3 linked regions of the Ovis aries genome follow. The protein of the gene in region 3 purifies or fractionates together with the protein of the main gene of each other region. This does not show direct contact. Links are inferred from orthologs where the notes say so. Each region holds a gene or a part of one and is shown on either strand. Other genes may lie near its edges.

The links.
Region 1: the proteins of SETDB1 (region 3) and SUV39H1 purify together in Homo sapiens (affinity purification with mass spectrometry; 3 studies listed by BioGRID and IntAct, counting the BioPlex papers as one, with this or other methods). This does not show direct contact. The link is inferred for Ovis aries from reciprocal best matches to the Homo sapiens genes SETDB1 and SUV39H1.
Region 2: the proteins of SETDB1 (region 3) and ATF7IP purify together in Homo sapiens (affinity purification with mass spectrometry; 6 studies listed by BioGRID and IntAct, counting the BioPlex papers as one, with this or other methods). This does not show direct contact. The link is inferred for Ovis aries from reciprocal best matches to the Homo sapiens genes SETDB1 and ATF7IP.

Annotation. Positions count from the first base shown.
Region 1 is NC_056080.1:56,394,840-56,405,327, reverse strand, and holds the start of SUV39H1 (histone-lysine N-methyltransferase SUV39H1), read left to right. Parts: upstream 1-5,376; 5' UTR 5,377-5,400; coding exon 5,401-5,419; intron 5,420-7,476; coding exon 7,477-7,622; intron 7,623-9,018; coding exon 9,019-9,681; intron 9,682-10,488. Other genes in the region: actin nucleation-promoting factor WAS, read left to right, coding at 603-658. UniProt on the Homo sapiens protein: Histone methyltransferase that specifically trimethylates 'Lys-9' of histone H3 using monomethylated H3 'Lys-9' as substrate. Also weakly methylates histone H1 (in vitro).
Region 2 is NC_056056.1:201,008,556-201,018,260, forward strand, and holds part of ATF7IP (activating transcription factor 7-interacting protein 1), read right to left. Parts: coding exon 9,703-9,705; intron 9,574-9,702; coding exon 9,547-9,573; intron 7,758-9,546; coding exon 7,645-7,757; intron 3,882-7,644; coding exon of another isoform or gene 3,840-3,881; exon of another isoform or gene 3,723-3,839; intron 3,633-3,722; coding exon 3,213-3,632; 3' UTR 1-3,212. UniProt on the Homo sapiens protein: Recruiter that couples transcriptional factors to general transcription apparatus and thereby modulates transcription regulation and chromatin formation. Can both act as an activator or a repressor depending on the context.
Region 3 is NC_056054.1:100,894,775-100,904,479, forward strand, and holds part of SETDB1 (histone-lysine N-methyltransferase SETDB1), read left to right. Parts: intron 1-4,159; coding exon 4,160-4,194; intron 4,195-4,635; coding exon 4,636-4,735; intron 4,736-5,697; coding exon 5,698-5,823; intron 5,824-5,990; coding exon 5,991-6,192; intron 6,193-6,865; coding exon 6,866-6,939; intron 6,940-7,858; coding exon 7,859-8,049; intron 8,050-8,797; coding exon 8,798-8,927; intron 8,928-9,705. UniProt on the Homo sapiens protein: Histone methyltransferase that specifically trimethylates 'Lys-9' of histone H3. H3 'Lys-9' trimethylation represents a specific tag for epigenetic transcriptional repression by recruiting HP1 (CBX1, CBX3 and/or CBX5) proteins to methylated histones.

The sequences.
Region 1 (10,488 bases), on a different chromosome or scaffold from region 3:
AGACATGACTGAGGAGAGCAGAGAAAGAGAGAGTATTAGCCTCAACCTACTGTGTGACAATAATATTATTAAAGTTCGGCTTCGACAATAACACTGACATCAACCCAGGAGTCTGTTCACAGATCAATAGGAATCCATTATATGACAGAATTATAACAAACCTCCTCTTTTGACCATGATATCATCACTAACCCCATTCTGTGTCAACAATGTGAACATTAACGCACTATGAAAAAACAACATTGTAACTTCCTCCACCTTTGCTAATATTTAAATCCACTCCATTGAGTGACAAGCCTGTTAACAGTAACCCTTTGTGTGACAATAATATCCCAACCAACCACATATTTTTTATAATATTAACCTCGACTCCAACTAGAACCTAGACCCCAGCTATAGTCCCTATCTTGCCCCTCCCTAACTCTCCCTCCTCTTAGGAGGTCCCTTTATCTAACACACAAACCTCAGATCTAACTTCCAAGTGGGAGATCTCAGCCCCCAGGGTTTAGTATCCCAACCTCCTAGACCCTAGTAACTCCTCTCTCCAGGGCTTTTGAACCCTCCTACCCATCCTGAGTTCCACTCTTTCTCTCTCCCTCCAGACGAAGGGGAGGACCAGGCCGGGGATGATGATGATGATGATGAATGGGACGACTGAATCACCACCACCTCTGCTGTTCTGTGCTGGGCTCCCCTGGCAGCCCTCCTCGCCACCCTCCACTTAACTTCCTGGCCCCCAAGCCCCTTTTCTTTCCTACCCACCCCTCCTATGCTGTTATCTCTGACTGGCCTCCTCCCACACACACTCACCCTAGCAATAGCCAGGGACCTTTTTATATAAAATGTCTCAGTTCAACTCATTCAAGGATTTTTAAAAAAAAATAAAATAACTGTCTTTTTGTTTCTTTAAATCTCAGTTTCTTTACCTACCAAATGTGAGAATTTGGGGTCCTTTTCCCCCAAAGTTCCTTTTATTCCTATTTCATTTGTTTAGCCATACATATGTATATTTATTTATTCATTTGTTCCCTTGGTCATTTAGTCTGTATTTCTTTGTTTCCTTCTGCCCTTCCTTCTTTCGACAGATATTTATTACCAGGCACTACTTTGGGGGCTGGGGATAAAGCAATGGGAAACAAACAACAAAAATTCTTGGTCTTGTGAGGTCAACATTCTAGGGCAGGAGATAGACAAGAAACAAGGAATTAAATAAAAACAAAAAGAGTTACAGATCATGGTAAGAGCTATATTGTGCTGAGAGGAAGTGATGGTAAGATGTAGAGTTCAGGGAAAGACACTTGGAGGAGGTGACAGTTATGCTGAATCTAGAGAGAAAGGATTCAACCATGTGAATATTTAGAGGGAAGGGCCTTCCAGGCAGAGGGAATAGCCAATGCAAAGACCCTGAGGTGGGAAAAAGCTTGGTGTGAGGCTGAATGTGGTGAACGAGTGAGAGTTATTTGTACACTCATTAAAAAAAAAGTGCGATCAACACAGTATTAGATCAAGAGAGCACTCAATGATCAGACTTCCCACTCTCCATGCACACAACTCCCACACAATGCTAAAATTTGATTCTGCCCAGTTCCCAGTGCAATCTAAGTCCTGGCCAATGGCAATGAAAGAGGCCATAGATCTGCTCTAGATCACAGGCAAGATGCCTCACCTCTGAGCCTCAGTTTCTTCATCTATACAATGGGGGCAACAATATATAACCTATTTCCAACTTGGATCCCACTGGGTCACCCTCCTCCTCTAGAACTTGCTCTCCAGAGGGGGAAAAAGGCGCAACTCAAAACTGTCCCTGGTGTCAAAGCTGTTTCCAAGGGGGTAATTAGAAACTCTTGTACATCAAAGCCTAGAATAGAGGGGCCTACCCCTTCCCATTTCTGAAACCTGGTGGATATAAGATCTCAGGTTTCATACCTTCAGAGGAGTAAGAGAGCAGGGAGGAAAATAAAGGTGAGGGAGAATTCAAAGGGGGCAGACTTCTTCCATCTGCAAGATCAGTGCAAGAATTTCTGAACCATCCAAGGGCAGCTTAAGGGGTTAGAAGAGGGTGGAGGTATAAGGAGTAGGAGCTGGCTTTGCCCCTTAAGAATTTCCCTGCAGCCATGGAAGCTGGAGAAGGAGGGAGTCCTGGGTTCCCTTTAATTTTTCATTGTTCTTCATCCTTTACTCCACTCCCCACCCCACCCTGGTTGGGTTCCCATGGCAAGCACTGAGTCTAGGAAGGGCCTGTCATATCACTTCTACCCCCACCAAACCCAGAATTCCATAACCCTTTGAGCAGGTTTTGTCCTGGAAAAGACCTTACATCACACAACCTCTGAATCCCCAGGAGCATTGGCTAGAGCAAGCACAGATCTGGGGTAAAAGAGTTGACTATGGGGAAGTTGCTTGAGCTCCCTGGGCCTCAGTTTCTTCACGGGGTAGTGACAAGAATGAAAGTAGATGGTGTGTGCAAAGTTCCTGGCTCCTTGTAGGCATTTATAAACCTGAGATGCTGTTTCTGCTGTTGTTACTATTGTTATTATTGGGTGTCGCTGATCCTGAGTCATCACTGATTATAAAATGCACCATTATTCTATATATCACTTAAAAAGACCAAAGAAAAGTACTTCCAGTTAAGTTATAACCTATCAGTGCTTTTAAGACACTCTGACTTTGGAGATATTAAACAATTAAGTGCTTCTAGGGCCCTGGCTGACAATGTTGTTTCTTAACCTGGATTCTGATTCCACATGTATGTTCATTTGTGAAACTCATTACACGGGGTCACCACCCATGGTCTCCTTGTTTTTCTGTATGTGTGGTACACTCCAATGTTAGGTTTATATTAAAAGCCAGTCAAACTTGCGCAGTTTGGAAAGGATAAGATTTTGTATTGGCCCTGCACTGGGAGATGTAGTCCACAGCAGAGTATGCACTGAATTAATGCTGAGTGAACAGATGAACAGCTGGGTGTAGGACACAGTAATAATAGGGTCATTTCTTACTTTGAGGTCTTCTAAAAAGGTGCTATCCCAGAAAGATTCATTTTCCAGATGAGCAAGAGATACCCACCCCAAGGTCACTCATCCAAGGTTTTACAGATGAAGGAACTGCCTAAGGTCCCACACTTTAGTGAAGGGTTGAGCTTGGATTGTACCCAGGTATTTGGGCTCTAAAATCCAAGCCTTTACCCACTATACTATCCTATGTGGGGAAGACTGATGGATGGTCCCCAACACCTGTAAACCACTACATCTTCCCCAGATTCAGGCAGAAAGAGGTCATGCCAAATAAAAGAAAAAGAAAAGAAAAAGAAAGAGCTCATGCCTTAAACTACTATTGTGGGTTGGACAGGCCTCCTGGCTCCTAGGAGTGGGAAGGTCCTGCCTGCCTGGGGAGACTGGGGTCATGTGAGGACCAGCATCTGACTGTTCTAGAAGTAATAAGGGAGAGAAGAATTCACAGTGAGACTTCCACTGTTAACTGTTCCACCCATGGCAAGCAGGGGCTAATGGAACCTCATCCTGACCAGTCATTTCTCCAGCTGGCTCACAGTTGGACTGGCAGGCACAGAATAACCATTTGGTTGACTACATAAAGTATGGAACAACAGGGAGAGGGGCAATTTGAGGAAATGACAGTGTGGGTTATTGACACTGTGAGCTACTTAAAATCTAACTGAATTACAGCCTGCTTGGGACTGGCTGGGGCTGATGACCTGATGCTGCAAAAGAGAGGCAGCCTCCTGAGGGACTTACAGGTTGACTGACTGATGACCCGTGCTGTTGCTGCCTGCCTGGGTAGCCGGATGTTGTGAATGGCTGACTATTGCTAGGAATCACACCTGGCCGGAGAGTATGTGTGGATGTTACACTGTCTGGGGATGTGTAAAGGAGATCTGCTCAGTCGCTCAGTTGTGTCCTACTCTTTGCGACCCCATGAACTGCAGCCCACCAGACTCCTCTGTCCATGGAATTTTCTGGGCAAGAATACTAGAGTTGGTTGTCATTTCCTAATCCAGAGGATCTTCCAACCCAGGGATCAAACCTGTATCTCCTGCCTTGGCAGGCAAATTCTTTACTACTGAGCCACCTGGGAAGCCCCTAAAGGAGGTCTACCCTGAGGGAATTTCAGGTTGACTGATGGACAGATCTGTGCCTGCCTGATAGGCAACCATATCTAGTGACTGACTGTCTACTGTGAACAAATCACAGCGTACTTGACAGACCGTGTGCTCAGTCAGATGTTGAGAATGGCTACCTAGTTGACTGATACGAAGGGCAGACTGAATGAGTCACAGGCCAGCTGGCCCACTGAAAAATCAGTGTAGCCGCTTGAAACCATGGCTGTCCACAGACAGAACCACATCCACCCTAAAGGGCCCTGGGGGTCAGAGAATGCTGACTGACCTACCAATGGAGGGTATGCCTTGCCTGAGAAATGACAGATTGCTGGCCACTGACAGGTGGCCTGGAGGCTTTAGCTGCTGTGAGTACGTGCTCTGGGGAAATAAACTGCCTGATCACGGCATGAATGAGGAGGAACCTGAGAGAATTATGGAGTGACCAGCTGACAGTGGAGCGTGTAGCCCACACGACAGGGCTACATTCGATGTTGACAATGACAGTCTGTCCTGACATAATCACAGCCAGCCAGAGGGCCCAAGCTGGCTTCCTGGGCGGTGGTGAGGTGATTTCCCCCAGAGGATTCGGAGCTGCTTCCAGGGCCAGGGTAGATGGAGAGCCTGGCTACTGGACAGACTGATGGTGTGATGAAGGGACAATCTAAGGGAATGGCAGGCTGGCTTACAGCAACATAGCTGTTGTCAGCGCCGTTTGTCTGCCTCAGGGGCCTCGCAGCTGGCCCGAAAGCAAGAATGGATGCTGCTGCTGACAGACTGACAGCGTGAATGGCGGGCGGGGGTCTGATGAGACAGTGGTAGTGGTGATGGATTTCAGTCGGGTGACTGCCCGAGCAGCTGTATGCGGCGGTAGTCCACCTGGGGAGTCACGGACTGCTTGGGGTTAAAATCTGGTGACGGACTGACTGACGGCGGTAATTGGGGGTCTGACAGGACGGAGAATCCCCTTTTGCGGCTAGCTGACAACGTGATTGGCTGACAGCGTGACAGACAGACCGGCGTACGGGCAGGGCCTCCGGCAACCTCAGCCGCCCTTGCTGCCGCGGCCGCCCCCCAGAGGCACTCTCGCAAAACACTGGCGAGCACCCGCCTTCGGGACCGAGCCGGGTGGCCGGGAGGGGTCCCGTCACGGCTCGCCGGTTGGTCCGCGCAGGCGCTGCTCGCTGCGCGGCGCGGCCAATAGGCTGCGCATTCTCGGCCACGCCCGCGCGAGCTCTCTTCTCGCGAGGCCGGTTAGGCCCGAATGTCGTTAGCCGTGGGGAAAGATGGCGGAAAATTTAAAAGGTGAAGCAGTGGCGGCAGCGACGCGGGCCCGCTGGCAGGCTGGGTGGGCTGGAGGGGTGGCGTCGCGGACTCGGGGCCCCCGGCGTCCGAGGCCACCGGGCCGGGAGCCGGAAGGTCGGCGCCAAAAGGCTGGGGCTCGAGGCGCGCGGGCCTGGCGCGCGGGGCTGGGCGGGGCTGAGGGGAGGGGGCGCGTGCCTTGGAACACGGAGGGCGCGGGGCTAAGTGGGGACGCGAGAGGGGGGCGCGCGCCGCAAATTGCGACCTGACGGCGCGCGCACGCGCGGGGGCTTGTTGGGGGAGGCCGCGCCCGCGCGCGGGAAAATTGGCCGCCGGTGACCGTTACCCTCTCGGTGTCCACGCGAGACGCCGGAAGGGGAGGGGAGGGAAGGGGACGGACCTCCTTTTCAGCGTTGCGGGACAGGGGAATCATCAGGGGGAGGATATCTGCTCGCAGCGTGATGGGGGAAGGATTTGAGGCAGAGAGAACTCCCCCAGGAAGAGGGGAAGAAGACTTCCCTAATGGGAGAGCTGGGCTCCCTGACGCGCAGGCAAAGAGGGGTGACTCAGTGTTGAGGAAGGTGGGCCCCTCTGGATGAGGAAAGCTGCGGGGGGGATGGGTTCCACAGGTGTGAAGGGGAGCTCTGAGGGTAGGAGTGTCCACCTGTGGTCAGTGCGGAGACAGCAGCATATTTGAGTTGGGATCACATTAGTTGGGGCTTCAAATGTAAGTTTGCAAGGGAGAGGCATAGGGAAAGGAAGGCGTGGGCACAGGCCGAGTCTCCACTAGGCCTGTCTAAGAGGAGGGGTGGAAATGCACACGTAATGATTTTGCAAAGCTCTTGTACATTTGTAGGTTGACATCTAGAGTATTTCACCATGAGTTTCAGTTTTTGTAATGGAAGGTAGAAAATATTAAACATTTTTAAAAGATGAAACAGGATGAGGACTGACTGATTACATTTGGAACAAGGGTTTTGTGAAATGATTTGATAAAATGGCTTCTAAAGCACAGAGACTAAGAATATGCCTTGAACCAAAAGATGCCTTTTAAATTACAAAATCTGTCCTGAAAAATTTTGGTAGCCTCCCCCCCCCCCCCCAACAACTAACCTATTTGTTCTGTCTGTTCTTGAATTCAGAGCACACTCCTTTGGGTGAGCTTTACCCTTCAGAGAAATATGAATGAGACAGAAAATCAAAATGCAGCCTGAAAAAATATGGATTTAAGGCACTCACGTGAATCATTTGGGGAAGCTTCCTATAATCTAATATCACTCCACAATCTCTTATTCTTAATTCCAAAATCCAAAAAGCCCTGAAAGTTTAAATTTGGTGTCATTCAGTGGCAAAATTAGGCTATCACTGCCACTATCTTGCATCTTTCTCTTATTCAGTGTGAAAATTCACACTTTTTCTGCAGAACTATTAATGTGATTATGGCTTGATACCCTTGACCACACTAGGGCTGTGTTAGGGAATGTAGGGGATATACCTAGAACTACACTTGTAAAATCCCCCCAATGGAATTTGGATTCTAAAACATCTGGCACCAGGAGTTACAGATGAGATTGTGGACCAGTCTTTCCAGTTAATGCCTTTGTCTGGTGCCCTGGAGGCTTTAATCCCATCCCTACCCACCCACCTTGGGACAGTGCACCCTACTGAGATGGGGGTTGTTCTCTTTCTTTTGCAAAGTGGGGAGAAGGACAATTAGGTCCTGAACTCCAAGGAGGTTTGCAGGCAGTTTAAAGAATGGTATAGAGGGAGCTGAAAGCTCTGGAGGAGGGGTGGGGAATCGATTCCTTTAGGATGATCCGTGCAGCAGAAACCACTTGGAAGTCTGCTGCTCCAGGGTAAGCCTTGGACAGTGGGCACTGGGGTAGATGGAAGTGGCACATCTTTGTTGAAGGGTCTTAGCATTGGGAAAGCCTGTGGATTAAATTTCACTGCCTCTGAGGTAGTCCTTTGGAATTCCTAGGGATGATTTGGGGTCCTCTTTGACCCCTGGCCTCATCAGGATGCTCAGCAATAGTTCTTTCTGGCCCTCTTTGTTCTAGGCTGCAGTGTGTGTTGCAAATCTTCTTGGAATCAGCTACAGGACCTGTGCCGCCTGGCCAAGCTCTCCTGCCCTGCCCTTGGCATCTCCAAGAGGAACCTCTATGACTTTGAAGTCGAGTACCTGTGTGATTACAAAAAGATCCGCGTGAGTCTGGGGTGACTGTGGCCAGGGCAGAGGTGACTCAAGGAAGCTGGCTTCCTGCCCGCCTCCTCCCCCATTACCCACATCTGTTTCCAAAAGCAGTTTTCTCCTCTGATCTTAAAAACGTAGGATTAGTAGGCCCTCTTATCATTTCCATTTTACAGGTGGGAAAACCAAGTGGCTTTCTGAGAGGGGCAGGAGCCAGAAGGAATCCTTAAATAAATCTCTCCTCCCACCTCCCTCTGAATACAAACCAATTGCAAAGATTGAGATGCTGAGCCCAGGAGTGGAGATAATGATAACTAATGGTATTGATGATGATGGACAGGGAAGCCTGGCATGCTGCAGTCCATGGGGTCACAAAGAGTCCGACACGACTCAGCGAACTGAACTGAATGGTTTTGAGCACTTTGCGGTGCGAGGCACTTTCTTTTAGAAACTAATTTAATCCCACCAGCAACATTGTAAAATGGCAACTGTTACTGTTGCCCGAGGAGATAATGGCAGGACAGTTAACAGAACAGCCTGGAGCCAGCATACTTCAGTTCACATCCAGGCTGTGTAACTCTGGAAAACTTACACCAATTCTCTGTACTTCATTTTCCTCATCTATACAATGGGGATAATTAGCAGTATCTACCTTATATAGAGTCGTAAGTGTTAAATTAGCTAATAATACATATAAGTTGCTTAGAACAATACCTTCTACATAATGAATGCTAGAAAAACATCTGCTCTTTTTTTTCTTATTTACAGGATGAGGAAACTGAGGCCCAGTGAAGTTAAATAACTGCCTGAGTTTAGGTTTGCATTACTAGGGAGCAGCAGATTCAGGATGTGTACCCAACGTGTTTAGTTGTAGAATCTGTGTAGTTAAACTCTATCCTATAGTGCCTCTCGGCAAGAAAAGATCCTTCTGGCTGCTGTGTGGAGAACAGACCTAGGGATGAGGGTGGAAACAGAGGGACAAGTGAGGAGGCTGCTGCTGCACTCCAGGCGAGCAATGAGGGTGGTGACAGAGATTTGAAGTGTAGTATTCTGGATGTAGCTTGAAGGATTTCCTGAGGGTGGATATGGGGAGTGTGAGAGGGTGGATATGGGGAGTGTGAGAAAAAGGAGTCAAAGATGACTCTGAGAGGAGAGGCTGAACAGCTAGCAGGAGGGGATAGATTTGGGAGATAAAAGTTGGATTTAGACAGATAGTAAGGGGAAGAGAGGGATTTGAACCTAGTGAGCCTCACTCTGAGAGCCTATGTTTTTTTATCACTGCAAAGAGTCATTCTAGGAAAGGAGCGGTTTGGGTGTTGCCCACAGCCTTTGGGATGGAAGTGCCACAAGAGCTGGCCCAAGGGTCTCGTCTGTCACTTACAGTGCCCCCACCCCTTCCCCACCCCCCCAGGAACAGGAGTATTACCTGGTAAAATGGCGTGGGTACCCAGACTCCGAGAGCACCTGGGAACCACGGCAGAATCTGAAGTGTGTGCGCATTCTCAAGCAGTTCCACAAGGACTTGGAAAGGGAGCTGCTCCGGCGGCACCACCGGTCAAAGCCACCCCGGCACCTGGACCCAAGCCTGGCCAACTACCTGGTGCAGAAGGCCAAGCAGAGGCGGGCACTCCAGCGCTGGGAGCAGGAGCTCAATGCCAAGCGCAGCCACCTGGGACGCATCACCGTGGAAAATGAAGTGGACCTGGATGGCCCCCCACGGGCCTTTGTGTACATCAACGAGTACCGTGTTGGTGAGGGCATCACCCTCAACCAGGTGGCTGTGGGCTGCGAGTGCCAGGACTGTCTGTGGGCACCGGCTGGAGGCTGCTGCCCTGGGGCATCACTGCACAAGTTTGCCTACAATGACCAGGGCCAGGTGCGCCTGCGAGCCGGGCTGCCCATCTACGAGTGCAACTCCCGCTGCCGCTGTGGCTATGACTGCCCCAACCGAGTGGTACAGAAGGGCATCCGCTACGACCTCTGCATCTTCCGCACGGATGATGGACGTGGCTGGGGTGTCCGCACGCTGGAGAAGATCCGCAAGAACAGTTTCGTCATGGAGTACGTGGGCGAGGTAGGGAGACAGGGCTTGGCGGGTGTGTATGGCTCTCCCCACTGTGTGTTCCCACCCTGAGCGCCTGCCTCTTTCTCCCTACTGTATGCCTGAAGTTCCCCTGCTTTCCCTGGGGGGAAGGTGTTGAGGGGGTAACCTGAGTGTGAGAGGGACTATCCTGGCAGGGGCACATATTCCACGCTGGTAGTTAAAGGCACGTTGAAATACTTTCAAACTGGGTTGACTTCATAAGGGTACCTAGCAAAGAGGTAAGCGGGAACTGAAATCCAGGCAGCATTCCTTTTAACAGACCACGTGGCCTGCACAGGATTGCATCATCTGAAAAGGCACTTCCTCTTCTCATTTCATGAGGGTCCAGCTTATCACCAGTCAGTGTCTGCCCAGGAGTACTTTTTTTTTTTACTAATCTGCACAAAAAGAACACAGTCTGCCTTGGGCGGGAAGCAGGGGTGGGGTTGGCTACCTCCTCCTCTAGCCACTGCAGGACACTGGGGCAAAGCTGGTATCCTTCCACCCAAATGGTGTGGCTGCCTAGGTTCTTTCCCTCTTGTGCCTTTACCGTGGCTTAGAGCTGCCTCTGATCCTCAGTGTTGCCTGGTGGGTGGGCTGCTGGGGGGCAGAAGGGGAGGTCTCTAATGGGCTGGGCCAGGATATGGTGCATATCATGTCTGCCCACACCTATTGGTTGCGACCAAGTCATGGGCCTTACTTCAGTTCAAAGGCAGCTGCAAAGCATGATTCAGCCATATGCCCAAATGGAAAACAAAAGGGGGTTGGGTGAATAACTAGCAGGTGTCTGCAACAGCA
Region 2 (9,705 bases), on a different chromosome or scaffold from region 3:
CAAAAAAAACCCACATTAACACTTATCGGCCACAGGAAGATAACTGTATGGTGCAGCCTGCCTAAGGAGTTCTGCTGACAGGTGGTCCTAAGCTCCTTGTTTGAGGTCATTTTATTCAATCAAACTTTTCATTTCCTATCTGGCAATGGGGGTTGGGACAGTGGGGAACACATGTCTGTGAGGCAAATGGCAACCCAACAAACATTCACTTTTCAAGGAAGCAAGCTCTGCTCTTCATTTCTCTCATGAACTTCGACTTTGTTAAATGGCACACAGTATTCTGCATGTTTTAAAAAGTGAGTCCAGAGAAATAGAGGGATATAGTTACCTCATAAAGTTACCTGTTACCAACAGATGTCTTTGTATATACTTTATAAATGTACTGGCAAGAATGTAATTTTAAAATGTGAGGCTTAGTCACACTTAAAATTGGGTGAAAATTACTCCGACAAAGTACAAAGTAGACAGTAACAAACATCACCATTACCTTTAAATGTCATATAAACATCCTCTATTTCAGGCTGAAGTATCAGAAGTTTCCAGGATTTCCAATAAGGCAATACTTACACAAGTATTGTCAGACTAAAAAAGTAGCAAACTTGCATTCCCAAAATGGGATTATTAAGCTTATTTGTAATACTCTGAGAAAAGATACTGTGAAATTAAAAAAGGTACCATGAAGTGTGATTGCTATTAAAAAATATGTGACCAGTAGCTATTTCTAGTTGAGCCCTCCATTCTCTGTCTCTAAAGAAACAAACCAAACAGAAAGCTCTCTTCAACATTAAAAAACCTGCCTGAAATAAAAACCTAGAGTTCAAGTAGCACCCACTGGTAACTCCAACATAATTGTTGCCTATAAATTCTGTGGCAGGCTAATTGAAAGAAACCATCTTATAATATCTTTTCCCTCAAATAATTACAATCTCTCTTTGTACCTTCCCTCCACCACTTGGAATAAAAAGTTTTATTTTACTGTAGTAAATCTATTTTTTAGGGTTACTATTTAAGTTATTTCTTTTTTCTCTGACAGAAATCACACAGTATAGGTCAAAATAATATTTTCATTCTACTGGGCTTTCTTCACCTGATTATATAATGCTATGAAAGCATAATTTTTTTTTTTTTAAAAAAGCATAATTAAAAAAAAAAGGATTAGTAAACAAAGTACTCACCAAGGGAAGCTTTCTAGGCTAGGTAAGCAAATTATCACATGACCATAAAACCGGTCAATAAAGGACAATTTTGAACATGGGCTTTCTATTCTGTCAACTGAAATGATCTTCAACACATAATCAACACTGCAACCATTGCAGGTAAAAACATATGTACATGCAGATATAAGACAGATGCTCACATACATCTAGAAGATCATAAGCTTCTCCCTTTAAAATTTTTCATTGGCATGACATTGGCAATTTCTTTACCATCATCATTAGACCCACAATGAGTAACACCTACATAGTTGGTTGGCAAATATGACTCATGGAAATTTTAATTCTCACTGTGGTATATTTTCTGAAAGCAAAAGGAAGATTTTGGAGCATTTACTTTAGGCAATCTGTAGGCTTTCCTCCACATCAATCAAACTTCACATCCAACCTGACAGTACAGTGACCAGTAAAAGTCTCTAAAGAGAGTTTCTTTACAAGTAGAATGTTTCCTATTACAAGCCATTGAAGATGCAAACAAAGAAGCATTAATATGGAAGTGACAGTTCCCTCTTATAAGTCATACATTAATGACTAACTCATTTAAGAAGGCAGGAATATGATTTCCAATATGATATGGAAGATGGCTTGAAAATGTATTCCACAAACTCCACAAATTCCTTTCCAAGCATCGCCAACCCCACTCTCATCCCCCAAATTACGCCATCTCTCCTGTCTTAAGCTACCTACACTCCAACATGTACCTGATACCAGTATAACTGGCACTCAAATAGAAAATCCATGACCAAAGTTTGATTAAAACTTTGAAGAGGAACAGAGATGCACAGAAGTTGTAAAGTCATTCTTACATAAATGACCCCAAAGGATATACTTTAAACCGTATCCAAAGCTGACATATGGTGAATCAGACAAAACTTAGCACCATCAAAAGAAAAGATTAATACAGGAAGAATGATATGAGGATAAAGAAGAAATGGAGCTTTCCCTTGATAGTTTAGCTTACTGTATTTTGTGAATTTTACTATTTACTTTCTTTGAAAGAATACTATGGGTGATAAGGTATGCTTTGGGTGATAAGGTAAACCAGAATTGCTTTCATAATCTCTAAGACAGTGTGCAACATAGATATTAAAAGATATTTGAAGGGAAATTGGCTTATACAATGTGGTCTTCTTTTGGTTCACTTTACACAGAGTTAAATAGTGACCAGAAATAAAAAGCATTAATTTTCTTGGAAGAAAAGAGCAAGTTAAATGTAATGATGTCACTGATGAGACTACATATAAAAGCCTTGGTCTAAAATTTACTTGAGGGAAATGTGCTACATTTGGTGGAGAGAAAGGAGAAATGAGGATGAAAGGTTGACAGAGAAGAGTAAACCACAATGGAAAAATGGCCCTGTTTACTTCTGCAGTTAATCCTTAAGGCACAAAAATAAATGGAAAAAAATCTCTGATTAGAAAAGGGAGGGCCCACTGCAATTCTTTTTCATCGATTGACAACCCAGAAAAGACAAAAGAAAACATGAAAAGATCTTTTCCTGTGTTCAAATTAACCTATTTTAAACTATTTGACCATTTTGCTTTTTATTTTTTCTTTGGGTTCCATTTAGAGTCAGTTTAAATCATCTATCTATAAACCTACAGATCACGTAGAAGCAGAATCATGCCAGATACATACCTCAAATCATTTGATCTACTTACTTCACACTGGAAGAGAGGTAAATTTGAGAATGAAAATGGGAGATTCCACTGTAATAAACATATAAATACAGAAAAGCACACACCACACATATACCCCAGCCTCAAAACTAAAGCAAGGTGCACATTTACATTTCAAAACCTTGAAGCCTGAATTGTTCAGGAAAAGATCCTGCTTTATGGGCTGAGTTTATTCTGATTATAAACAAATGTAGTGTATATATACATCGGTCCAAGAAATCTTGCACAATGTGCATTTTACAATGGGTATCATGCACAAGATTAAAACAAGACCAAAAAGTAGAACTTCTGAAAGAGGAAGAGAGAAAGGCTCCAAGGTTTAACTGCTCTGTGAAGAAGAGATCACATCTGTTGACTGAGGATCACAGAAAGGTCCAAAACGCCCGTAAATATCCTTGGCTCGTACTGCAAAGTAGTATTTGCTGCCAGACACGAACTGGGTGAGAGTGCATGCCATAGGCAAGGGAAGTGCCTTGACTTCGCCAATCTTCTTCCACTGTGAGGGTACAGTGGCACTGGGTTCCTCGTGGTAAGCGTACAGGTGGTAGCTGTCAACAGTGGCGCAGCTTCTGTCCACCTCCAGAACACTCCAGGACAGTACAATGCCATTTTGACTCTGAACTCGTGCTAACTTCAAGTGAGGCTTCTGAGGCAGAGACGTGCTGGCAGCTTCAGGGGGCAGACGCTGTGGTTGTGGGGCTTCTGGTAAGGGTGCTGGGTGCACAGGGCGTGGGGGCTCCTAACAAAAAAAGAGTCATGTTGATGGATAATGATTGGAGAAAGGACTGTTTCTTAATGCGAGAACTATAACATCCTAGAAATCACTTACTTTTAGAGAGTCTTCATTTTACATCAAGAATACTGGGAAATAGCAAATATCACACATCTGGCAAGTTCTCCCTGATGATTTGAAACCAGTTCATGACCCAGAAGATGAGTGTTGAGATTATTCCCTCTGTGCTTTTTGGGTCTGAGATACTGAGTTTTCCTTGGGAAACAAAAGCCCTGGCTGATGGAACATCATCTTGACAGAAACTGAAATAATAATCTACTTCTGATAAAATAATTAATGATTTAATGATCTATACCACAGACTCTTGTTTTAATATAACATATTTTTTAATAACATATGTTGGCAGTCTATCAATCATCTAAAATTTGAGTATCAACTCTACTTTCATTTTCAGACTGTTTCTCCATAAAAAGACAGTAGCATATTCTTATAAGTTAAGTACATATAACACTGACTGTATATTATATTCTTGGTCAGTCTGCATGAAAAAGGTTACATTTATACTGGACTGTGAGAGAGAGAATTTAGAAATGTAGAAATAGTTGTGAATCTTTCTGCTAACAGGTAAAAGCATGAACAAGGCATGGGGATAGGCAAGCGAGGGGATTTATGGGCAAAAACACGGAGAATGTGAAGAACACACAAATTTGGAAAGGTAAGTTAAGGCCAGATAATGAAAAAGCATGAATACTAAGCTTACAAACTGACCTGATGCTAGACATTATTATCATCTGGGTTTTAAGATTACAATGATACCAGTTCTTCAAAAAGATTTAAGTAAGAGCCAGGAAACAGAGATATAAGTGGTCTTTTTTTCCCCCCAAGTGAAACATTATTGCTCAATGACTTTAGTTTGGAAGTCATGAAAAAAATAAGATCTCCTTAACTGAAATTCATTTATCAAAATTATGTTTTAATATGCATTTCATTAAATGGATAATTTGCATATACTAAATAGTGAATTCTGTGAAGATCTGATATCTTCTAAATCTCTATGCCTTTTCAAAGTTCAGTGCTAGTAGTATGCACGCAGTAACAACTCAAAAAAGGATCTGCCAAATAATCTCAAGAAATGAAAATATGCTGAAATTTATATGTGAAGTGAAAAAAATCATATACACATCTGGAGAAACACAGTTTAAAAGCTAAAATAAATATAAAGTTAGAGGGAGGGAAAAAAGCAAATGCAAATACATGAAACATCAAAAGCTGAAGAAAAACAGATTTGAATACTGGCCATCTTACTGTATTACTTCTCTCAAATTAAGTAAATAACATTAAATAAACACACAACTAGTAAGATCTATGAGAAGAAGGCTGCAGTCATGAACTTGACTGGAAAGAGTAGGAATTTAAGGAGTATGATAATAGCTTACAGCCTATAACAGCCCTTTCTAATTCTTAAAATTTGAGGCTACCAAATCCTCTCATATTTCAAAACAGTTAAGTCAACTGAGCTACTGCTTCGTTTCTGCCACTGCAATGGAGATTTCTACTGAAGTTTTAGAGATAATATATCAGGGATTTGCTTCAAAATATTCCAGTGCATACACAGGTTGTAGGAGTTTGTGGGTGGCAATACAGAAGAAAGAAGATTGGCTATGACTGCTGAAGACTGATGACTACTGAAGACAGGTAATGGGTAGGTGGGGATTGCTACACTAGTCTTTCTACTTTTATATATATTTGAAAATTCCCAGTTAAAAATATTATTAAAATTAAATTAAAAGAATGTTTCTCCTATGAGATACTGCTGCTGCTGCTGCTAAGTTGCTTCAGTTGTGTCCGACTCTTTGTGACCCCATAGATGGCAGCCCACCAGGCTCCCCCGTCCCTGGGATTCTCCAGGCAAGAACACTGGAGTGGGTTGCCATTTCCTTCTCCAATGCATGAAAGTGAAAAGTGAAAGCGAAGTCGCTCAGTCATGTCCGACTCTTTGCGACCCCATGGACTGCAGCCAACCAGGCTCCTCCATCCATGGGATTTTCTAGGCAAGAGTACTGGAGTGGGGTGCCATTGCCTTCTCTGATGAGATATAGTGTATTTATTATAAGACAATTCATATGGAATCCTGTTTTAAAAAAAGCTCTGATGGATCATCACATTTGCAAAACTGCAGCATAAATAGGACATTTTTACTATATATTTCTCGAAGGAATATGGGATGAAGTAGGTTGTTTGTAGTTGCAAACAACAGTAATGAGATATGTGCCACAGATCCTACAAGGCTAGATCTGAAGCACTGTGCCAACATGCTGGAGGTGCTGGGACCAGAAAAATCTGAGTTTTAAAATGGCTCTGCCTCTGACACTAGTTTGGCAGTGACACTGAGTAATCACCTAATATCGCTAAGACACAGTAGCCTCTTCTATCAAACAGAGAATATTGATTCTCAAGGGTTTCCCTGGTGGCTTAGATGGTAAAGACTCCATCTGCAACGCAGGAGACCTGAGTTTGATCCCTGGGTTGGGAAGATCCCCTGGAGGAGGGCATGGCAACCCACTCCAGTATTCTTGCCTGGAGAACCCCCATGGACAAAGAAACCTGGTGGGCTAGTCTATGGGGTCACAAAGAGTCAGTCATAACTGAGCGACTAAGCACACAGTAGGGTTGGGAGGAGTAAATAAAATAATACAAGTACAATAGTAGAGTGCCTCGTATACGTGAAGTGCTCCATTAACACGACTTTTTTAACTGCAGTGGGACAGTAAAATAACAGCTGCTAAGAGCACAGGCTCTGGAACTGGAATGTGTTGGGTTTTATGAGGTATGACCTGGGGCTGGTTATTCAACCACTCTGTACATTAGCTGCCATACCAATAATAAAGGATAAAAAAAGAAAGCTAGAGTTCTAAAGAATTTCTGTGTAAGGACCACATAAATTAACAGTGCCTGGTGCATAGAAAGCCCTTCACAAACTTAGCCATTACTATGTATATTTTAAAAAGGATGCTTTGCTTGGTAAAAAGTGGTATCAGCCTCAATCTCCTACCACTATTAGAGCCAGCATTTCCATTCACACACTCTATCATACCAAATACTATTACAGTCAGGTCACAGGATAATGTGACATTGATTTGGAGATTAAAACTAAGGAGAAATCTTTGGTTTTCTCTATTATCTCTTAACCAATGAATTCCCAATACCACTGGATGATTAAAAGTAGCAGGTGATAGGTCAGAGAAAGACAAATATTATATGATATCACTTATATGTGGAATCCAAAAAATAATACAAATGGACTTCTTTACAGAACAGAAACAGGCTCACAGACACAGAAAATAGTTATGGTTACCAAAGGAGAGGGGAAGGGATAAATTAGAAGTATGGGATTACCAGATATACATCACTATGTATAAAATAGGTAAACAAGGATTTACTCTATAGCACAGGCAACTCCATTCAATATCTTATAATAAACTATAATGGAAAAGAATCTGAGGCTGTACACCTGAAACTACCACAACACTGTAAATCAACTACAGTTAAATTAGAAAATTTTTTTAAATTAAAAGTTTAAAATAAAACCAGTAAAACGATAGCAGTGTAATAGAACTAGTATAAAATTCTGAGAATAAAATTAAACCTGCAACAATATTTCGTAAAATATTCAGTACTTTAAAAAAATATTCACTACTCAAGAATGCGCTCTTTAACCTAACCATAAGTTTAACATAGTCTATTCCACTTCTCACGCCCCAGACGTGGACTCTTTTATATGCTGCACACCACCACAAGCAAACTCTATACTCCCCAACCATCATTACCCAGAAGTGTTTCTGAGTAATGTTGACAGATATAATGGTAAGATCTACTTTCTTCAATAAACATCTGCTGGAAAAACAGAAGACCTGTTATTTTCTTTTGCTATAACTAGTTTAAAGAAAAAGTACTAACTGCAGTGGTATCTGACAGTGTTATACGTGAGAATTTTGTGAAGCCAAGGGTCCTCACTTACAGTATGCACTTGTGGTGGTCGGTGATGCACTGTGAGCTGAGGTCCTGTTGATCCCAGGGTTAATCCATTGTTTACAACATATGTAGTTGCTTGAGGCACTCGGACTGTAACACCTATAAAAGAAAATGAAGTGATAGAATTCGAATTCTATTCTAAATTTGGTAGAACACTGAATTAAACATTTAAAAATCAGTAAAGTGATGTTTTTAAAATTCAAAAGGAAAAATATATCTAACCTAGAAGTCTATACTCATCTAAAGTATCATTCAAGCATGAAGATAAAGAAATTCTCATATATGCAAGCTACCAAAATAAATAGTCTACCTCCATGAACTTTTCTTCAAGTAGCCACACGAGAGACAAGATTAACAAAGGACAATAGGAGACAAAGTGAACAGGAGATCCAGCATAGGAAAGAAAGAAATGCAATCCATACCCAAAATCCTAGCACACTGAAACACTGGAGGTACACATAACACAGAAGGCAGATAGGCCAGAACGGAGCACTGTGACTCTAAAGATAGAAAACATGAAGCTTTCTTCACAAAGATCTCTGCTGCCTCCAGAACAGGCAAGTTAATCTTGCCTCATTTTAACAAGGTTCCTCTCTTCCTTTCCATGCTCTGCTGATCAGCTGAGGATACTCATTTCATCCAACAGAAAACTTTATACAGACATCAGGGCAACAAAAGCAGAAAATTTAGAAGCAGACTTCCTCGGTGGTACAGTGCATAAGAATTTACCTGCCAATGCAGAGGACACAGCTTTGATCCCTGGTCTGGGAAGATCCCACATGCCATGGGGCAACTACTGAGACTGTGCTCTGGAGCCCAGTCTACTCTACAGCTGCAACTACTGAAGCCTGAGCCCCTAGAGCCTGCACTGCACAAGTCACCGCAATGCGAAAGCTGAACACCACAACTAGAGAGTAGCCCCTGTTCCCCGCAACTACAGAAAGCTCATGTGCAGCAATGAAGACCCAGTGTGACCAAAGATAAAATTTTTTTAAAATTAAAAAATGGAGAAAATTTAGAAGCCACTCATAGCTCAGCCATATTTCTGCCATATATCCATTACTGTGGGTACCTTGCCTGGGGTGAGCCCTGTTTCCCAGAATTCATTTAAGACACTGCTGACAGATTTCCCCAGAGAAAGCTCTTGTAAACTTGAGAAAGCTAAAGCCAGAATGTGAACTAGAGACTCTGTTTAGTTTATTTTCTCCTATAGCCATCACCTAATAATGGCATGACTGAAGTTTCAATAAACAGCTGGATTTGTCCCTGCTTGTTAAGTTTTGCGAAACTGAATATTTTTAGTGATACCTATAGAGATTGCAAAACCATACAGAAAAACAGAAAGTAAGGGTGATGGTTACCTCTGATGGAAAGGGAATAGGATGAAATTAAGAGCAGGCATACATAGATTTTTAGATTTTGATAAAGTTCTATTTCTTAGCCTAGTGGAGAGTTCATATGTGGTTCATTTTGCTATTTTTCTTTAAGCTTTAAATATATCCTTTATATAAACTTGTTTGTATATTTTGCAGCTGAAAACATGTATGTTTCATATATATATGTGTGTATGTATATACATACACACACACATACACACACGGAAATTACAAGTTACCTTAAACATTTTCCCATCACACACACACACACACGGAAATTACAAGTTACCTTAAACATTTTCCCATCTTTTATTTCTCAGCCACTTTCCATACCTTTAAGACTCTCATTGGAGGCTATCCTTTACCATTATCTCCATATGGGCTAAGTCACAATTGATCATTCCCACTTTAATTAGGCAAGTTGTCTCTAAAGTATGGTACAGACCAACATCAAATCAAGTAGGCCATAAATAATTAAACTGAAGACAACACACAGAACACAAATTAGATACCAGTCCATTTTTTTCTGGTTAACTCTCCTAAGAAAAGAAAATGAATGAATAATAGTTTTAGTATGATATTGAACACTTTTTGCTGCATCTAACATCAATATAAGCCACTCCAACTACATGCAAAAGAACAACATAAACAGGAAAAGGGTCTCTTACTGT
Region 3 (9,705 bases):
GGTCACTGCTTTTTATATCCTTACTGCCCTGAATCTACAAAGATCTTCTTTTACATTGCCTTTGAAAGTTTCATAGTTCTGCGTTTCACATTTAAGTTTTTAATCTAACTGAAATATATTTTTTGTGTAATATTTGAGGTGTTTTCTTTTTTTCATAATGTTCTTAAATAATTCTCCAGCACCATTATTGAAATGAGCCACCTCTTGCTGATTCGCATTGCTTCAGTCAGTTCAGTTCAGGCCCTCAGTCGTATCTGACTCTTTGCGACCCCCATGGACTGCAGCACTCCAGGCTTCTCTGTCCATCACCAACCTTTGGAGCTTACTCAAACTCATATCCATTGAGTTGGTGATGCCATCCAACCATCTCATCCTCTGTCATCCCCTTCTCCCACCTTCAGTCTTTCCCAGCCTCAGGGTCTTTTCGAATGAATCAGTTCTACCCGACAGGTGGGCAGAGTATTGGAGTTTCAGCTTTAGCATCAGTCTTTCCAGTGAATATTCAGGGCGGATTTCCTTTAGGATGGACTAGTTGGATCTCCTTGCTGTCCAAGAGTCTGTCAAGAGTCTTCTCCAACACCACAGTTCAAAAGCATCAATTCTTCTGTGCTCAGCTTTCTTTATAGTCCAACTCTTAACATCCATACATGTGAAAGTGAAGTGAAGTTGCTCAGTTGTGTCCGACTCTTTGCAACCCCATGGGCTGTAGCCTATCAGGCTTCTCTGTTCATGAGACTTTCCAGGCAAGGGTACTGGAGTGGATTGCCATTTACTGGAAAAACCATAGCTTTGACTAGAAGGACTTTTGTTGGCAAAGTAATGTCTCTGCTGTTCTATCATAAATTACTTATATATACATATATCTATGGGTTTGTTCCTGGATTTTCTGTTTCATTGGTGTGTCATTTCTTACTAAGTCAACTCTATACTGTCCATCACTGTGACTTTATAAGTTTTTCTGTTAACTCTAGTAACTTCACTTTCTCATTCTTCACAGATGTCTTGGTTCTTTTACACCTGTTTTCCTTATATTTGAGAGTTAGCTTTTCATGTTCCCCCATTTCCCACACACACCGATAAAAACCCCAGAGCTATAGACATATCAGTATCAGTTGACATTATCAGATTACCAATATAGAGATAGTTAATAATTTTCATAGTATTTAAATCTCCCATACAAAGATCATGTATTTAGTCCTTAACATTTTTCACTGAGGTTGATTCATTTTCTCCACAGAAAGCTTGCACTAACTTTTTTTAAAAACTACATTTCTAAATAGTTTTGCTAGTATTTAGACATGTGGTTGACTTTTGCATATAGATTTTTTTATCTGATGATCTCACTAAATTTTTATTTCATTTTTGGTCATTTACATTGCTTTCCATTTATTTATTTTTGCCACGTTTCCCTCCAAGTTTTATTGAGATATAGTTGATAATATGGTATTTAAGGTATAAGACTGATTTGATATATATGTTTATTGCAAAATGATTATCACCATTGCCTTCCATTTTTAAATGTTATAAATCTCTAAAACTTCACTATACAATACAGTAGCCACCATCCACATGTGGCTATTTAAATTATGTGAAATGTGAGGATTCCTGGTGGTCCCGTGTTTAGGATGCTGAGTTTTCACAGTGGAAAACCTGGGTTCAATCCCTGGTCAGGGAACTAAGATCCTGCAAACCACATGGCAGGGCCAAAAATTTTTAAATTATGTGAAATGTGAAGTCTAGTATTTCCCAGGATGTATGAGTAACTCTTAAAACTTAAGAATAAAAAGACAAATAGCCATTTAAAAATAGGCGAAATATTTGAATAGATACTTCTCCAAAGATGTGTAAATGACTAATAAGTATATGAAAAGATGTTTAACATCATTAGCTATTAAGGAAATGCAAGTCAAAACTACTTATTAGGATAGCTGTAAGAAAAAAGATAGTAATATAAGTTTTGGTAAGGATGTGGAGAAATTGGAACCCTCTAAAATTGCTGGTGAGAATGCAAAATGGTACAGCCACTTTGGACAAGTCTTTGAATTCACCAAAAGGTTAAACATTGAGTTACTTTATGGCCTGGCAGTTCTACTCCTAGCCATAATCCAAGAGAAATGACAACATATGCCCACATAAAAACTCATATAGGGACTTCCTGGTGGTCTAGCAGTTAAGAATCCTCCTGCAAATGAAAGGGACATGGGTTTGATCCCTAGTCCAGGAACTAAGATCCCACATGCCTTAGGGCAACCAAGCCTGTGTGCTGCACCCTGCTGAGCCTGCAACTACTGAAGCCTAAGCACCCTAGAGTCAGTGTTCCGCAACAAAAGAAGCCACCGCTATGAGAAGCCCATACACCACCACAGCTAGAGAGTAGTGCCCGCCCACTGCAGCTAGACAAGGAGAAAGCATGTGCATCACAATTAAAACCCAGCACAGCCAGAAATAGTTTTTAAATTATTTTTGGGAACTCATATACAAATGTGCCTATCAACGTTATTCATAACAGCCAAAAAGTGTAAATAACCCAAATGTCCATCAACTGATGAGTGGATAAATAAAATATAGTATAGCCATACAATGGAGTATTAATCATAAAAATGAAGTGCTAATAATGCTGCAACATTGATGAATCTCATGTGATGTACCACATATGATTCCACTTATGTGAAGTATGCAGAAAAGGCAAACCATAGAGACAGATAGTAGATTAGTAGTTGCTGGAGGTTGCAGGTGTGGTGGAATGGGGAATGACTGTTAATAGAAACCCCATACTTAGTGGGATTTCTTTTCAGGGTGATGAAAATGTTCTAGAATTAGATACTGGTGATGGTTGTACAACCTTGTGAATACACTAAAAACCACTGAATTAAACATTTTGAAGGGGTAAATTTGTTACGTAAATTACATCTGATTTTTTAAATTTTTTAGTCAAATTTAAAGGCTTCCATCAGAGAAGGCAGTGGCACCCCACTCCAGTACTCTTGCCTGGAAAATCCCATGGATGGAGGGGCCTGGTGGGCTGTGGTCCATGGGGTCGCTAAGGGTCAAACAACTGAGCAACTTCACTTTCAGTTTTCACTTTCATGCATTGGAGAAGGAAATGGCAACCCATTCCAGTGTTCTTGCCTGGAGAATCCCAGGGACGGGGGAGCCTGGTAGGTTGCCATCTATGGGGTCACACAGAGTCGGACACGACTGAAGAGACTTAGCAGCAGCAGCAGCAGCAGCAAAGGCTTCCATGATAGCTCAGTTGGTAAAGAATCTGCCTGCAATGCAAGAGACCATGGTTTGATTCCTGGATCGGGAAAATCCACTGGAAAAGGGATAGGCTACCCATTCCAGTATTCTTGGACTTCCCTTGTGGCTTAGCTGGTAAAGAGTCCACCTGCAATGCGGGAGACCTGGGTTCAATCCCTGGGTTGGCAAGATCCACTGAAGAAGGGAAAGGCTACCCCTTCAGTATTCTGGCCTAGAGAATTCAGTCCATGGGGTCACAAAGAGTTGGACATGACTGAGCAACTTTTACTTTACTTCGCTTCAGTAAAATTTAAAACTCATTTCGTGTGCTTAGTCGCTGAATTGTAACAGATTGGCCAGTGCAGAAACAGAATATGTCTATCATAGCAGGAATCGAACCATGGTCTCCTGCATTACAGGCAGATTCTTTACCAACTGAGCTATTACGGAAGCCTTTAAATTTGACTCAAAAATATAAAAAATCAGATGGTAATTTACATAACAAATTTACCCTTTTAAAATGTATAATTCAGTGGTTTTTAGTGTATTCACAAGGTTGTACAACCATCACCATTATCTATTGGACAGCACTACTCAAGAAACATTTTAACTTAATTCACTGGGCACATTTCATTTTTCAAATCATTCAGATGACCCATAAAAAAATTATTGTTATAAAAATTCAAGTATTTGAAAATCCCAGATCCCATAGACTGTCACCTGTACCAGTACTTTATCCCCAGGTAAGAATTGTTATCTGTTTGCTGTTTTATCTTTCTGAATGCTTTTCGTACTTTTACATAGATAGGTGTATCTGTAACTAGTTTATAGTTGTTATCAAGTGTTCCCATGATAGTTTGGTTCTTGATTTCTTGGAAATTCTTATGTATAAGTCTTTCACTCAATTTTTCTCATCTAGGTGATGCTGGGAACAGAACTCCAAAAGACCAGAAGGTAACTTGAAATGAGTAAGAGAAGGATGAGAGAGAAGAATATGAAGATAGAAGAAACTTTTGGCCTAACCGTTAAGTCAGTTCAGTCATCAAGATATAACCAGTCACCCTGAAGTCAGCCCCATGGGTTGCAGTTCTCTAATGAATGTTATAAGAATACAAAAGCTCCTTATAGATACATGCACTGAATGCTGTATGAATATAGAATTTGGCAGTGATAAGCTAGATTAATTAATCAAGGAAAGCTTCCTAAAGCTGATTTCTGAACCAGATTTGTAAGAAAGGGCAAGTTTTGCCTGATAGAGTAACTATAAGCTTCTAGAAGTAACTGTAAGCTTCTAAACATAACTCAGTCTGTTTCATTTTTTAAAAGACAAGTTGTTATTCTCAAGAAGCGGTGCTACTATTTTAAAACTTGTTTCTTTTGTCCCCTTCCTCACAGCTCCGTGAAGCTATGGCTGCCTTAAGAAAATCGGCTCAAGATGTCCAGAAGTTCATGGATGCTGTCAACAAGAAGAGTAGTTCCCAGGATCTTCACAAAGGTTAGAGTCAGGAGACATCTTGGTATAGGTGCAGGGGTGAAGTCCTACAGAGATTTCATGGATACTGTGTTTTAATGTTTCAGTGTCTTTCTCTACCTCTGTAGGATTCTTTTAATACCACTTGCTGTTTGCTTAAGTCTTTTTTTTTTTTGGCTGTATCACTCAGCTTGTGGGATCTTAGTACCCTGACCAGGGATCGAACCCAGGCCCACAGCACTGAAAGTGCGGAGTCCTAACCACTGGACCACTGGGGAAGTCTCTTGGCTTAAGTCGTTTGTCTGATGGCTTTCTACCATGTGATGGCTTTGTCCAAATAACTTTTTAGCTCCGTGCTCATGATATCTTCTTTCAGATGAAGGTTAAAGAAAACAGTAACTCAAACTGTAAAAAAGAGGTCTGAAGGAAGCTTTCTTTGTAGAATGCAGCTATTAAGAGATCCCTCCCAGGAAAATGATTTATAAAAGCTGTGCTGTGCTTAGTTGCTCAGTTGTGCCAGACTCTTTGCGATCCCATGGACTGTAGCCCGCCAGGTTCCTCTGTCCATGGGGATTCTTCAGGCAAGAATACTGGAGTGGGTTGCCATGCCCTCCTCCAGGGATCTTCCCAACCCAGGTATTAAACCCAGGTCTCCTGCATTGCAGGTGGATTCTTTATGGTCTGAGCCACCATGCTGCTTGGCATTTAATGAGTAATAGTTAATGTTGTTAATAAGGAGTCAGAAATATTTGGTTACAGTGAGATGGTCTTGAGTTACATGTGAATTTCAATTCATATTTTTCCTGTTAGCATAAAGAGCTGAGTCCACTGTGTCTTATATATCTGCCCTTGGCCAAGGGAGCAGGAAAATTGGTTAAGGATCAGTGATTACCCCATTTGTCCCAATAACCCAGTACCCTCTTTATTTTCCATTCTTTCCCCAATCTGTGCCATATCTCTTTAGAGCAACTTTGCTTTCTTCCTAGGAACCTTGAGCCAGATGCCTGGAGAACTGAGCAAAGATGGTGACTTGGTCGTCAGCATGCGCATCCTCGGCAAAAAAAGAACTAAGACGTGGCACAAAGGCACCCTTATTGCCATCCAGACGGTTGGTATGTTCAGGCTAGAGGGAGGGCTAATGCAAGAGCCTGCAGGCCACCATCACTGATCGTGTCTTTTCCCCAGAGCCTTTGGCTTTTGTCTCTCACATAGCAATCAGGATCCACACAGAAACTGATGGTTTCTAAAAATTTTTGTTTCTCTTTTCCGTTTGACTCAGGGTCAGGAAAGAAGTACAAGGTGAAATTTGACAACAAAGGAAAGAGTCTTCTGTCAGGAAACCACATTGCCTACGATTACCACCCTCCTGCTGACAAGTTGTATGTGGGCAGTCGAGTAGTGGCCAAATACAAAGATGGGAATCAGGTCTGGCTCTATGCTGGCATTGTAGCTGAGACACCAAACGTCAAAAACAAGCTCAGGTACCTAGACAGAAATTGTAAGGAGAGTGGAAGCCAGGAGCAGGTCATCTGCCCTGTTTAAGCCATAGTGCAGATCTCACAATTGGCTCTGATGTTCTTAGTCCTCAGTGGCTGGAAACTCCCTCTTTCCTTTGCCACAGAGTCATGTGGGTGGTTCTTTCTTGCTCCCTTCCCCCCTTTTTTTCCCTTTTCTCAAAGAGAAAATTTGGTCAGGGGAGAATAATCCAGATTGATTAATGGTTAGGGGAACAGAGAATTCATACAGAAGGAAGAAATGGAGACTAAATGTTTTTCAACAATGTGAGAGTCCAATAGTATAACAAGAATAAATCACTTTTGGGAAAGTGGGGATATGTTGGTTAGATTAAGAGAGAATTCTAATATTCTTTTCCATTGTGATTTATTACAGGATATTGAATATAGTTCCCTGTGCTATACAGTGGGACCTTATTGTTTATCCAGTCTATATATAATAGTTTGCATCTGCTAACCTAAGGGAGAATTCTTAACTCTTGGGGTGGAAAGAAAGAATAGTAGAAAGAAAACAGTACACTGGAACATGTTCCCTGGATTGTGTCTTGTTTGTGATCCAGAGGAATGGAAGCTATAATAATTTCTGGTCATGTTAAATATAGTAACCCCCAGTCTTTCTACCATCACTCTTTCCTTACAGGTTTCTCATCTTCTTTGATGATGGCTATGCTTCCTATGTTACACAGTCTGAACTATATCCCATTTGCCGGCCACGTGAGTGTCCCTCCTTTTTTCCTTAGCTCTTTTTGTTTCCTCTTCTACCTTCTATTTCTTAAGACAACCAATGGAAAAGCCCTAATGTTCTTGGTGTTTTAGTTTCAAAGAGCATAAGTTTGATTCATATTTTTTGAGAGATACAGTTTTATTTGCTCGTGCCTAGTGTTAGGTCTTGGCAGCCATAGAGTCAGACATTAGAAGATCATGACTGATTTTGAGTGGATGCACGTATTGTAGATGTGTTTTAGTTTCATTTCTGAGTGATTTAAGTTTGACAAGATGTTACTTCTCTCCTAGTCTCATGTTTAACATTTGTGTAAATCTGTAGTCTGTGCATTGCTTTCAGAGTGCTTTCTACAGAACCTGTATTAGATGGGGTCTTCATAGTTTCCCCTATACTTGTGATTCTGGCTTAGGAGAGACTCTTATAGAAGCAACTGTTTTTAGTTGCAGGAAGGTCAAGTGAAATGGCTGTTTCCACATAACATGGCAGTGAATACACTCAGGGTCCTTTGAAAGCCTGATGGAGCATGAGAAGGAAGGACAGGATTTTTTAAAATCAGTTTATGGTGCCTCCTGATTCTTTTTGATTTACCTTTAGGCTTATCAAGTAAGCAAGAATTTCCACTTGACTTTTCCTAAGAGGAAACATCCATTTCTAGGAAATGAGTGACTCACCTATGTTTACATACTGCTGATTCAATTAGTATTTGCAGAATTTGAGTGTGCATTTGCACCTTAGGTTCAGTACTTTTAAGTGGTCATGGTTTTGCTTCCCTTGAGGTTATGATTTCTTCATTTATTTTTTCTCTCCTTCCCAACTTGAAAAATGCCAAACATTTCCTTGTCAACCCTTTCCCCCTATCAAGACATGCCCTACCTGCCCTCTCTCAGCCCTCCTTCTTCCTTGGGACAGTGAAAAAGACTTGGGAGGACATAGAAGACATCTCCTGCCGAGACTTCATAGAAGAGTATATCACCGCTTACCCCAACCGCCCCATGGTGTTGCTCAAGAGTGGCCAGCTGATCAAGACTGAGTGGGAAGGCACGTGGTGGAAGTCCCGAGTCGAGGAGGTGGACGGCAGCCTAGTCAGGATCCTCTTTCTGGTACTCTTCTTAGGAGTCTTAGAGGCGGGGATTTGGGTGGGATGGGGGAGCATAGGATAACTATGGCATATGTAGCTATGCCATAGTTTTTCTTCTTTGTTACTCTCTTACCTATTCTCAGTTTTGGGTCATATTTTACTTTTTTTTCATTCCTCTATGCATGGTTATTAAAAATAAAGTCCCTGAATTTAAGACTCTAATCTGCACGATAGTGTTTTTGTTTTTGCTTTTCTCCAGGAGTATCCACAATGCATGTAGATACAGAGAAGGCTGCTAGTTCTGTTTTCCCAGGGTTATTGATAATATAATGGGACAAAAAAGAAGGATCAGTGAATTCTGAGGTGTTGATGATCTTTCAAGGCCCAGCTTAACTCTTAAATCTTCTCTACTTGTCCTTTTCTCCCCTCTCACACCTTTCTTAGAATTATATTTCTTCTCTGAGCTATCTCAGCCCTTTGATCCTAATGAACCTTGTTATATGTCTTATACTCAGTATAAACATCTATCTCTTGTCATTTTTTTAAACAAGAAATATGTGTTTTTGTTTTGGGGGGTTTTATTTTTGTTGTTTAATTCCTGATGCCTGTTGTGGAGCCTAGCACATAAATTTATTGAATAGATAGGGAATTGGGCGTTCATCAGGGAGATTTCCCCCAAGGGAGGCACATGGTATTCTTCACAAGTGGCAGGGTAGATTCTGGCCTTTAACCCATTCCCCTGCCGCCTTTCCTTACTTGCGATCCCCTAGGATGACAAAAGATGTGAATGGATCTATCGAGGCTCTACACGACTGGAGCCCATGTTCAGCATGAAGACATCATCCGCCTCTGCACTAGAGAAGAAGCAAGGGGGACAGCTTAGAACACGTCCAAATATGGGTAAGTCCTGAAAGCTATCTGGGAGAGGGAAAAAATGGACAAATCAGCAAAGAGGTATATGTACGATGGCTATATCCTTTGTTTACCAGGATGACGCTACTGCCACATTGAAAACAGGACATGTTCCTAAGTTTCCAGTAGTGGTGATGAATTTGTGTTGCTGCCTCAACATACTATGGCTCTGATTTGTTCTCAAAAACACATAAAAATCTGAAACAACTAGCTTAGGTTAGGGGTATTGTTGGTAGTAACTACCTCTGTTATTTACATGAGGATTATCTGCTTTGTGTGTGCTATCTGTGGTCTTTTTTTTTTTTTTTTTTTGGCTGCGGTGCTCTTCATTGCTCAAGGACTTTCTCTAGTTGCAGCTAGCAGGGGCTACTCATCATTTCAGTGTCCAGGCTTCTCATTACAGTGGCTTCTCTTGTTGCAAAGCATAGGCCCTAGAGCATGCGGGCTTAGTAGTTCTGGCTCCTAGGTATTAGAGCACAGGCTCAGTAATTGTGGCACACGGGTTTAGTTGCTCTGTGGCATATGGAATCTTCTCAGTTTAGGGATCGAACCCATATCCCCTGACTTCCAGTCTTAATTTTTATCCACCATGTGTGATTAACTTGTTTTAAAATTTTGGTTTTGTCTTTATATGTTCCTGGCATACGTTTTGGTTAATTTTTCTTGACAACATCAGTTGATCAGAGAATGTATTTTTGAAAATTTTTACCAGAGTATAACATAATTGGCTTCCCTGGCAGCTCAGTGGTAAAGGATCCATCTGCCA